Macaca mulatta: one gene and its partner. The protein of the gene in region 1 interacts with the protein of each later gene in a biochemical or structural test. Links are inferred from orthologs where the notes say so. Each region holds a gene or a part of one and is shown on either strand. Other genes may lie near its edges.

What was found.
Region 2: of the proteins of LIMK2 (region 1) and ROCK1, one has a biochemical effect on the other in vitro, tested with the Homo sapiens proteins (2 studies listed by BioGRID). The link is inferred for Macaca mulatta from reciprocal best matches to the Homo sapiens genes LIMK2 and ROCK1.

What each region holds. Positions count from the first base shown.
Region 1 is NC_133415.1:20,254,009-20,257,665, reverse strand, and holds part of LIMK2 (LIM domain kinase 2), read left to right. Parts: intron 1-1,478; coding exon 1,479-1,665; intron 1,666-2,315; exon of another isoform or gene 2,316-2,509; coding exon 2,510-2,596; intron 2,597-3,317; coding exon 3,318-3,484; intron 3,485-3,621; coding exon 3,622-3,657. UniProt on the Homo sapiens protein: Serine/threonine-protein kinase that plays an essential role in the regulation of actin filament dynamics. Acts downstream of several Rho family GTPase signal transduction pathways.
Region 2 is NC_133423.1:71,400,023-71,403,679, forward strand, and holds part of ROCK1 (rho-associated protein kinase 1), read left to right. Parts: coding exon 1-78; intron 79-1,303; coding exon 1,304-1,395; intron 1,396-1,498; coding exon 1,499-1,745; intron 1,746-3,657. UniProt on the Homo sapiens protein: Protein kinase which is a key regulator of the actin cytoskeleton and cell polarity.

The DNA.
Region 1 (3,657 bases):
TAAGAAAACCTGTAGGGCAGGACAAGCCAAGAGGCATCCAGCGTCAGTCCTCTCTGGGTAGCCCAAGTAAAGCAGGAGCATACCCCGGAGAGAAAGTTCACAGGGCTGTTCACCTGCAGTGCTGTGGACTTCAACCTTCTTGTCCCTCCTTCAGTAAGTGAAACTATAGTCATTGACCATGACTATTATCTACCGCTTTTGAAAATGTAAACATAGTAACTTTATTGCTATAAAAATCATATATGCTTATCATCTTAAAATTCAGGAAACATGGACAGGTACAAAGATGTGCAAAATATCATCCAAAATCCCATTTGCTGGCCAGGCATGGTGGCTCACGCCTGTAATCCCAGCACTTTGGGAGGCCGAGGCGGGTGGATCACAAGGTCAGGAGTTTGAGGCTAGTCTGGCCAATATGGTGAAACCCCATCTCTACTAAAAATACAAAAATTAGAGCCAGGTGCTGTGGCTTACGCCTGTAATCCCAGCACTTAGGGAGGCCAGGACAGGTGGATTGTGAGGTCAGGAGTTCAAGACCAACCTGGCCAACATGGTGAAACCCCATCTCTACTTAAAAAAAACACAAAAATTATTTGGGCGTGGTGGCACGTGCCTGTAATCCCAGCTACTTGGGAGGCTGAGGCAGGAGAATCGCTTGAACCCGGGGGGCAGAGGTTGCAGTGAGTGGAGATCCCACCATTGCACTTCAGCCTGGGTGACAGAGCGAGACTCTGTCAAAAAAAAAAAATTAGCCAGGCGTGGTGGTGTGCACCTGTAGTCTCAGCTACTTGGGAGGCTGAGGCAGGAGAATTGCTTGAACCTGGGAGATGAAGGTTGCAGTGAGCCGAGATCGTGCCATTGCACTCCAGCCTGGGCGACAGAGCAAGACTCTGTCTCAAAAATAATAGTAATAACTAGCCGGGCCTGGTGGCACATGCCTGTAGTCCCAGTTACTCAGGAGGCTGGGGCACAAGACTCATGTGAACCAGGGAGACAGAGGTTGCAGTGAGCCAAGATCACACCACTGCACTCCAGCCTGGTTGACAGAGTGAGACTCTGTCTCAAAAAAAAAAAAAAAAAATCCCATTTGCTCATTTTTTGGATACTAGTATAACTATCACTCTAAACCAGTTAGTACCTTAAATCAAGCAAATATGGGAGATGGTGAATTACCATCTGCAGTCTTGTCATATATGTCATATACTGAGCATTATAAGCTAGTAGAATCTAGTTAATTGTTCTATGTGTGATGTACGTAGAGTTCCCATTTTGAATGTGTTTTTACTATGCTTAAATAAATGACTGATGTTAGCAACCCCAAAATGATACATCTGATGTAAGAGCCCCTGTTCCCCAATAATAACATCTAAACTATAGACACTGGAATGAACAGGTGCCCCTAAGATTCCTTCCTCCAGGGTTTCTTGGCCAGTCTCTGAGGACTACGCATCCCTACCCCCATCTTTCCTCATCTTTAGGCGCAGTAACAGCATCTCCAGGTCCCCTGGCCCCAGCTCCCCAAAGGAGCCCCTGCTGTTCAGCCGTGACATCAGCCGCTCAGAATCCCTTCGTTGTTCCAGCAGCTATTCACAGCAGATCTTCCGGCCCTGTGACCTAATCCACGGGGAGGTCCTGGGGAAGGGCTTCTTTGGGCAGGCTATCAAGGTGAGCGCAGGTAGCAAATACTTTGCTCTTCTGCCCCCAGTCCCTCTCTCAATGTCTTTCGGGGATTTCTCATCACTTGGCCCCACCCCACACCCTGCAGGACGCCAGGCCTCCTTCCTGGCTTTGGGTGATGGTGTGAGAGGCTTCACCCCTACCCAGGCCACCTAAGGTCAGTGTTACTGTTACAGTGAGCTTGTGGACCTAGAGATCCAGGTTGGGTTGAGCTGTGCCTGTGGCTCTCCTGCCTCCAGTCAGTGGGTGTTTGTTAGGTGCCTACAGACCTCAGTACCGGGCATGCTACAAGGAGCACACGGGAATGGCTCCTGCCTCCCTGGTGAACAGTCTCAGGGACTAACCTCTCTCTTTCTCTCCTCCTCCTCCTCCTCTGCTGAGAACTGGGAGGGGGGGTCAGGTAAGCCATGTGTCTCAGCTTGCAGGGGCAGCAGGGCTGGAGAGCTCACCCCTGACCCACCCAGCTCCCTGGTGCATGTCTCTGGCACTGACCTTCCTGCCCCCAGATTTCTGTTCACTCAAGAGACTCACTCCTATGCCAGATGACCAGAGCCCCTGCTTGGCTTGGCAGCGTCCCCTCCTGCCTCCTTCCCCACTTCCCTTTTCTCGGTTCTTGCCTCTCCTCCGTGCATGCCCACCTCTCCAGAAAAGAGGGTATGGTTCCATCTGAGTCCCACGTTGCTCCACGCTGCATCTTCCACACATGAACTCTGTCAGTCTGACCCGGCTCAGTGTGCCCTCCAAGGGATGGGATGGCCAGCTGCATAGATTTTCTCAAACAGTTCTCCAGAACTTCTGGTCTCAGCACCGTTAACAGTCACCCTCCCTGTAGGTGACACACAAAGCCACGGGCAAAGTGATGGTCATGAAAGAGTTAATTCGATGTGATGAGGAGACCCAGAAAACTTTTCTGACTGAGGTAAGAAGATGGAGGGGGCCCGGGAGGTTGGTGTCACCATTGGAAGAGAGAAGACCTTACAAATAATGGCTTCAAGAGGAAATACAGTTTGGAATCACTGTCTTAAAGACTAAGCAGAAAAGAGCCCTAGAGGAATATCCCACTCCCTCTAAATTACAGCATAATTATTTGTTCAATGAACACTTACTAAAAGCAACACAAAGAGGATACAAGGGATGCAGTAACAAAAGATACATGGTTCAGAGAAGCTCTCAGGTTATGAGGATGATGGACATGAAAACACGCCAGTTTAGTACAACTCGATGTTATAATCCTTACCTGAATGCCCTGCTAAGGGAACCTGGAGGGGGAGCTCCCTGAGCACTCACACTCCTTGGGCATTTACAGTTTTCACCATCCCTCCCAAGTTACTTCATGGAGCAACGTCAGTTGGGGACACCTGTGGTCCGGGTACTGCCCTCCAAGCTACTTGGCCACTCCCACCCCAGTTCCCCCAGTGCAGTTCCTAGAAAGGCAGGATCCCAAGGGTAAGGTCCGTGAAGCCATCTCCATCTATATGGTGGTGGTCTTCCCTCATCCTGATCTTAGTGCCCTGTCATATCACAAGAGAGGCAGTAGGAGATACAGGTGGTAACACTTGTCAGGCTGATTCCCTGGAGGGAAGGGGTAAGGAAGACATAGAAGTTAACAGCCAGCTTTCCTTGGCTTCCCTGACCCCCAGGTGAAAGTGATGCGCAGCCTGGACCACCCCAATGTGCTCAAGTTCATTGGTGTGCTGTACAAGGATAAGAAGCTGAACCTGCTGACAGAGTACATTGAGGGGGGCACACTGAAGGACTTCCTGCGCAACATGGTGAGTACACCACCCCATAGTCTCCAGGAGCCTTGGTATGTTGTCATGGTCAAAGGCCAGAGGGGCCCTGCTTTGCCCCCAAAGGACCATGCTGGGTGGGACTGAGCATAGACAGGGAGGCTTCACTAGGAGACCACATTGACCCATAGGGCCTGGACCATGAGTGGGATAGGGCTCAACAACCTCTGATAATCATTTCCCCCATTCT
Region 2 (3,657 bases), on another chromosome or scaffold:
TGCTACAGCATAGAATTAATGAGTACCAAAGAAAAGCTGAACAGGAAAATGAGAAGAGAAGAAATGTAGAAAATGAAGGTGAATTGTCACTACTTTTGAAAAATGATAAAATTTCTAACATTGTCATGAGGTTGTCTTTAATTTAGTGTCCATGATACGTACATAAAGCTACAGTCCTAAGACACTTTATAAGCTAAATAACCCAGATCTCAAGTTAAATTTATAACATATTAAAGTAAATAGTAAGTAGTGTTTAACTAGAGTAGTGATTGTCATCATGGTGTGCATACTGGAATCTCCTGGGAAGCTTTAAAGAGTACTGATGCCTAAATCCCAGCGATTCTAATTTAATTGGTCTAGATATGTGGCCTGAGTATCATTATTTTTTACAAGCCCCCTAGGTACTTATAACAAGCAGCTGCGTCTAAGAACTGCTAAACTAGGATTTCTTGTGTTTTAATGCCTATTACAAATATATTTAAAATACCTTTCTACACCCATTGATGCAGTGATTTCACTTCCATAAGTTATTTTACATACATACTCATACTGCAAACTGATATATACACAAGGCTATTCATTGTAGCATTGCTTAAAATGACAAAAAAAATGCAATCAATGCTTATATGAAACATAATGTAACACATATGAAACATAAAGGTAATCAATGCTGTAATAAATTTTAGTACATCTATATGGTAGAATACTATGCAGCTTATAAAAAAAATCATCTCCTTAAATACTGGTATGAAACAATCTCTAAGATATATCTTTAAGTGACAAAAACAAAGTACAGATTGCTTGTGTTTAAAACAAGAGTACTTGTCTATATATGCTTAAATTAAATATATATTAGGGAGGAGAGTCAGTTAAGGGAGACTCACAAGGAGCAAAAATGACTAAATGGAGAAAGGAAGCCTTATACTATCTGCCATTTGATACCTGTTAAATTTTGTATTAAGATATTGAATTATCAAGCAATTGATCTATTGAAAAATAATATTAAAACTAGCTTTATAATTACACTAACAGAGTGATCTTATAAAGGGAATAAAGGAGATGGAGTTTGAGATTTACAATAGTGAGAAGAAATCTGTTTTTGCACTCTGTATTATAAAATGATGTTCTACTTTTTAATGAATGTAAAATGCAAGTACTTCCAAATTGGAATTTGGCTTTGGGAGTGGACCTAATGTAGCTGACTGTTATGGCCTAAGACTAAATGTCATTTTTTAAAAAAGGATTTATATGTTTCCACTATGAAAATTTTGTAATTTCTATATATTATTCTTTCATTTTCTAGTTTCTACATTAAAGGATCAGTTGGAAGACTTAAAGAAAGTAAGTCAGAATTCACAACTTGCTAATGAGAAGCTGTCCCAGTTACAAAAGCAGGTAAGTGTTTCAAATGAGGTTCCTTTTTTTAAAAAAATGTAGATAATTAAATTGTATTGTACTTTGGTCAGAAACCTATTTTCTTTCTTTCTTTTTTAAATAGCTAGAAGAAGCCAATGACTTACTTAGGACAGAATCAGACACAGCTGTAAGACTGAGGAAGAGTCACACAGAAATGAGCAAGTCAATTAGTCAGTTAGAGTCCCTGAACAGAGAGTTGCAAGAGAGAAATCGACTTTTAGAGAATTCTAAGTCACAAACAGACAAAGATTATTACCAGCTGCAAGCTATATTGGAAGCTGAACGAAGGGACAGAGGTCATGATTCTGAGATGATCGGAGACCTTCAAGGTAATATTTTTTTTTATTGTGGTAAAATATGCATAACATGAAATTTATTATAACATTTTAACCATTTATGTATACAGTTCAGTGGGATTAAATACAGTTCACAGTGTATGCAACTGTCATCATATAAGTGGAATCATACAGTGTTTGTCCTTTTGCATCTGGCTTTTTTACTTAGCACAGTGTCTTCAAGGTTTATCCATGTTGTGTGTGTCAGATTTTCGTTCCTTTTTAGGGCTCAGTAATATTCCATGGTATGTGTATACCACATTTTGTTCATCCACTCATCTATCAATGGAAGGAATATTTTGTAATTTTTATTTTTAATTGTCAAAAAATATATAACAAAATTTACCATCTTGACCATTTTTAAGTCTAAGTTAATATATTTATGATCATATTACCCTCATAAAGAAAATGACTTTGGTGAAACCAGATGGTTGCATTCTTTTTTATTTACATTTTTTTGAGATAAGACCTTGCTCTGTTGCCCAGGCTGGAGTGCAGTGGCATGATCACAGCTCACTGCATCCTTGAACTCCGGAGGTCAAGCAATTCTCCCACCTCAATTTCCTGAGTAGCTGGGACTACAGGTGCATGCCACCATGCTCAGCTAATTTTTTCATTTTTTGTAGAGACGGAGTTTCACCATTTTGCCCAGGCTAGTCTCAAACTCCTGGACTCAAGCGAAACACCCACTTCGACCTCCCAAAGTGCTAGCATTATGGGTGTGACACACCACACCAGGCCAGCATTCTTTCTCTTTTAGGATAATGCCTACATTTGTATCACGTTGTAATTTCTTCACCCTCACGGGTACTCCTGCGGGGTAGGTAATGTGGATATTTTTCAGTTTTACAGGTAAATTAACCAAAAACTTCATTTGAAAACTTGCCTAATTCATAAAGGTTTTACTCAAAGTGAGACTAATCCAGGCAAAGAGGATTATCACTATTAAAACCTAGGAATTCCTCATGCATTGTTGGTAGTAATAGAAATTCAATTGCAGAAATAGAATCCCATTACACATTAAAAGTTATATACTTGGGAACGTTTGAACTGGAAATACTGATAAGTCTTCGTGAATCTAAGAGGCAAAAGATTGAGTATAACTAACAGTGAATAAATGAACAGTTTTTAAATAGTAATAAAATTCAGTTTGTTTTCAAAAAGATTCCTGGCTTTATGTACTCACATATTTTTCTTTTTTCTATTCCTGTTAGCAGCAGCATCCATACTACCTAATCAAAACAAATATGCATGGAAGTTGCCAGATCTCTCAGGAAAAAATTGGAGGGAGGAGTTCATTTTAACCTTAGTTAGAGTTGGGAACATAGTTTTGGGTCCCTTGGGGCTTGATGATTAGCTATAATTCAGTGGAGAGAGGTCAGGGTCAGCTTTTGTGACTAAGGAAACAGAAAATATGATCTCCTGTTGGTTCTTAGCTGAGGAGTGTTGTGCAATCATATTTCTCAGGGACCAGGCTTAAAATAGATCTGAATATAACTAAGAAAGTAACCACTTTATATGTAATAGGAAAGTTACAGACTTCCTTACATTGTTTTCCTAGGCCTTTTTATACAGCTTATTAGCTGTTTGAAAGTCTCTTCATCTCCCTTCTTTGTCTGTAAACCAAGGAGATAAGAATAGGTTACCTCTAATAAATCTTTCCAATTCTGAAATTCTTGTAAGTTTGTGATCTGTGTTTGACTGAGCTTTGAGCTCCTTGCTTCAGAGGCAGAGATCATCCATGTACTATCAACAGTGATTTTAAACTGTATCTATTTTTTTAGATATCAGTTAAAGTTAAGGAAAATTTGTGGCGTGATTTATTGTTTGTTTATCCTTTTTCAGTGTTTCCTTTGTTTATTTTGGAACTTAAATGTGGATAAAAGCTCACATACAGTAAAATAAT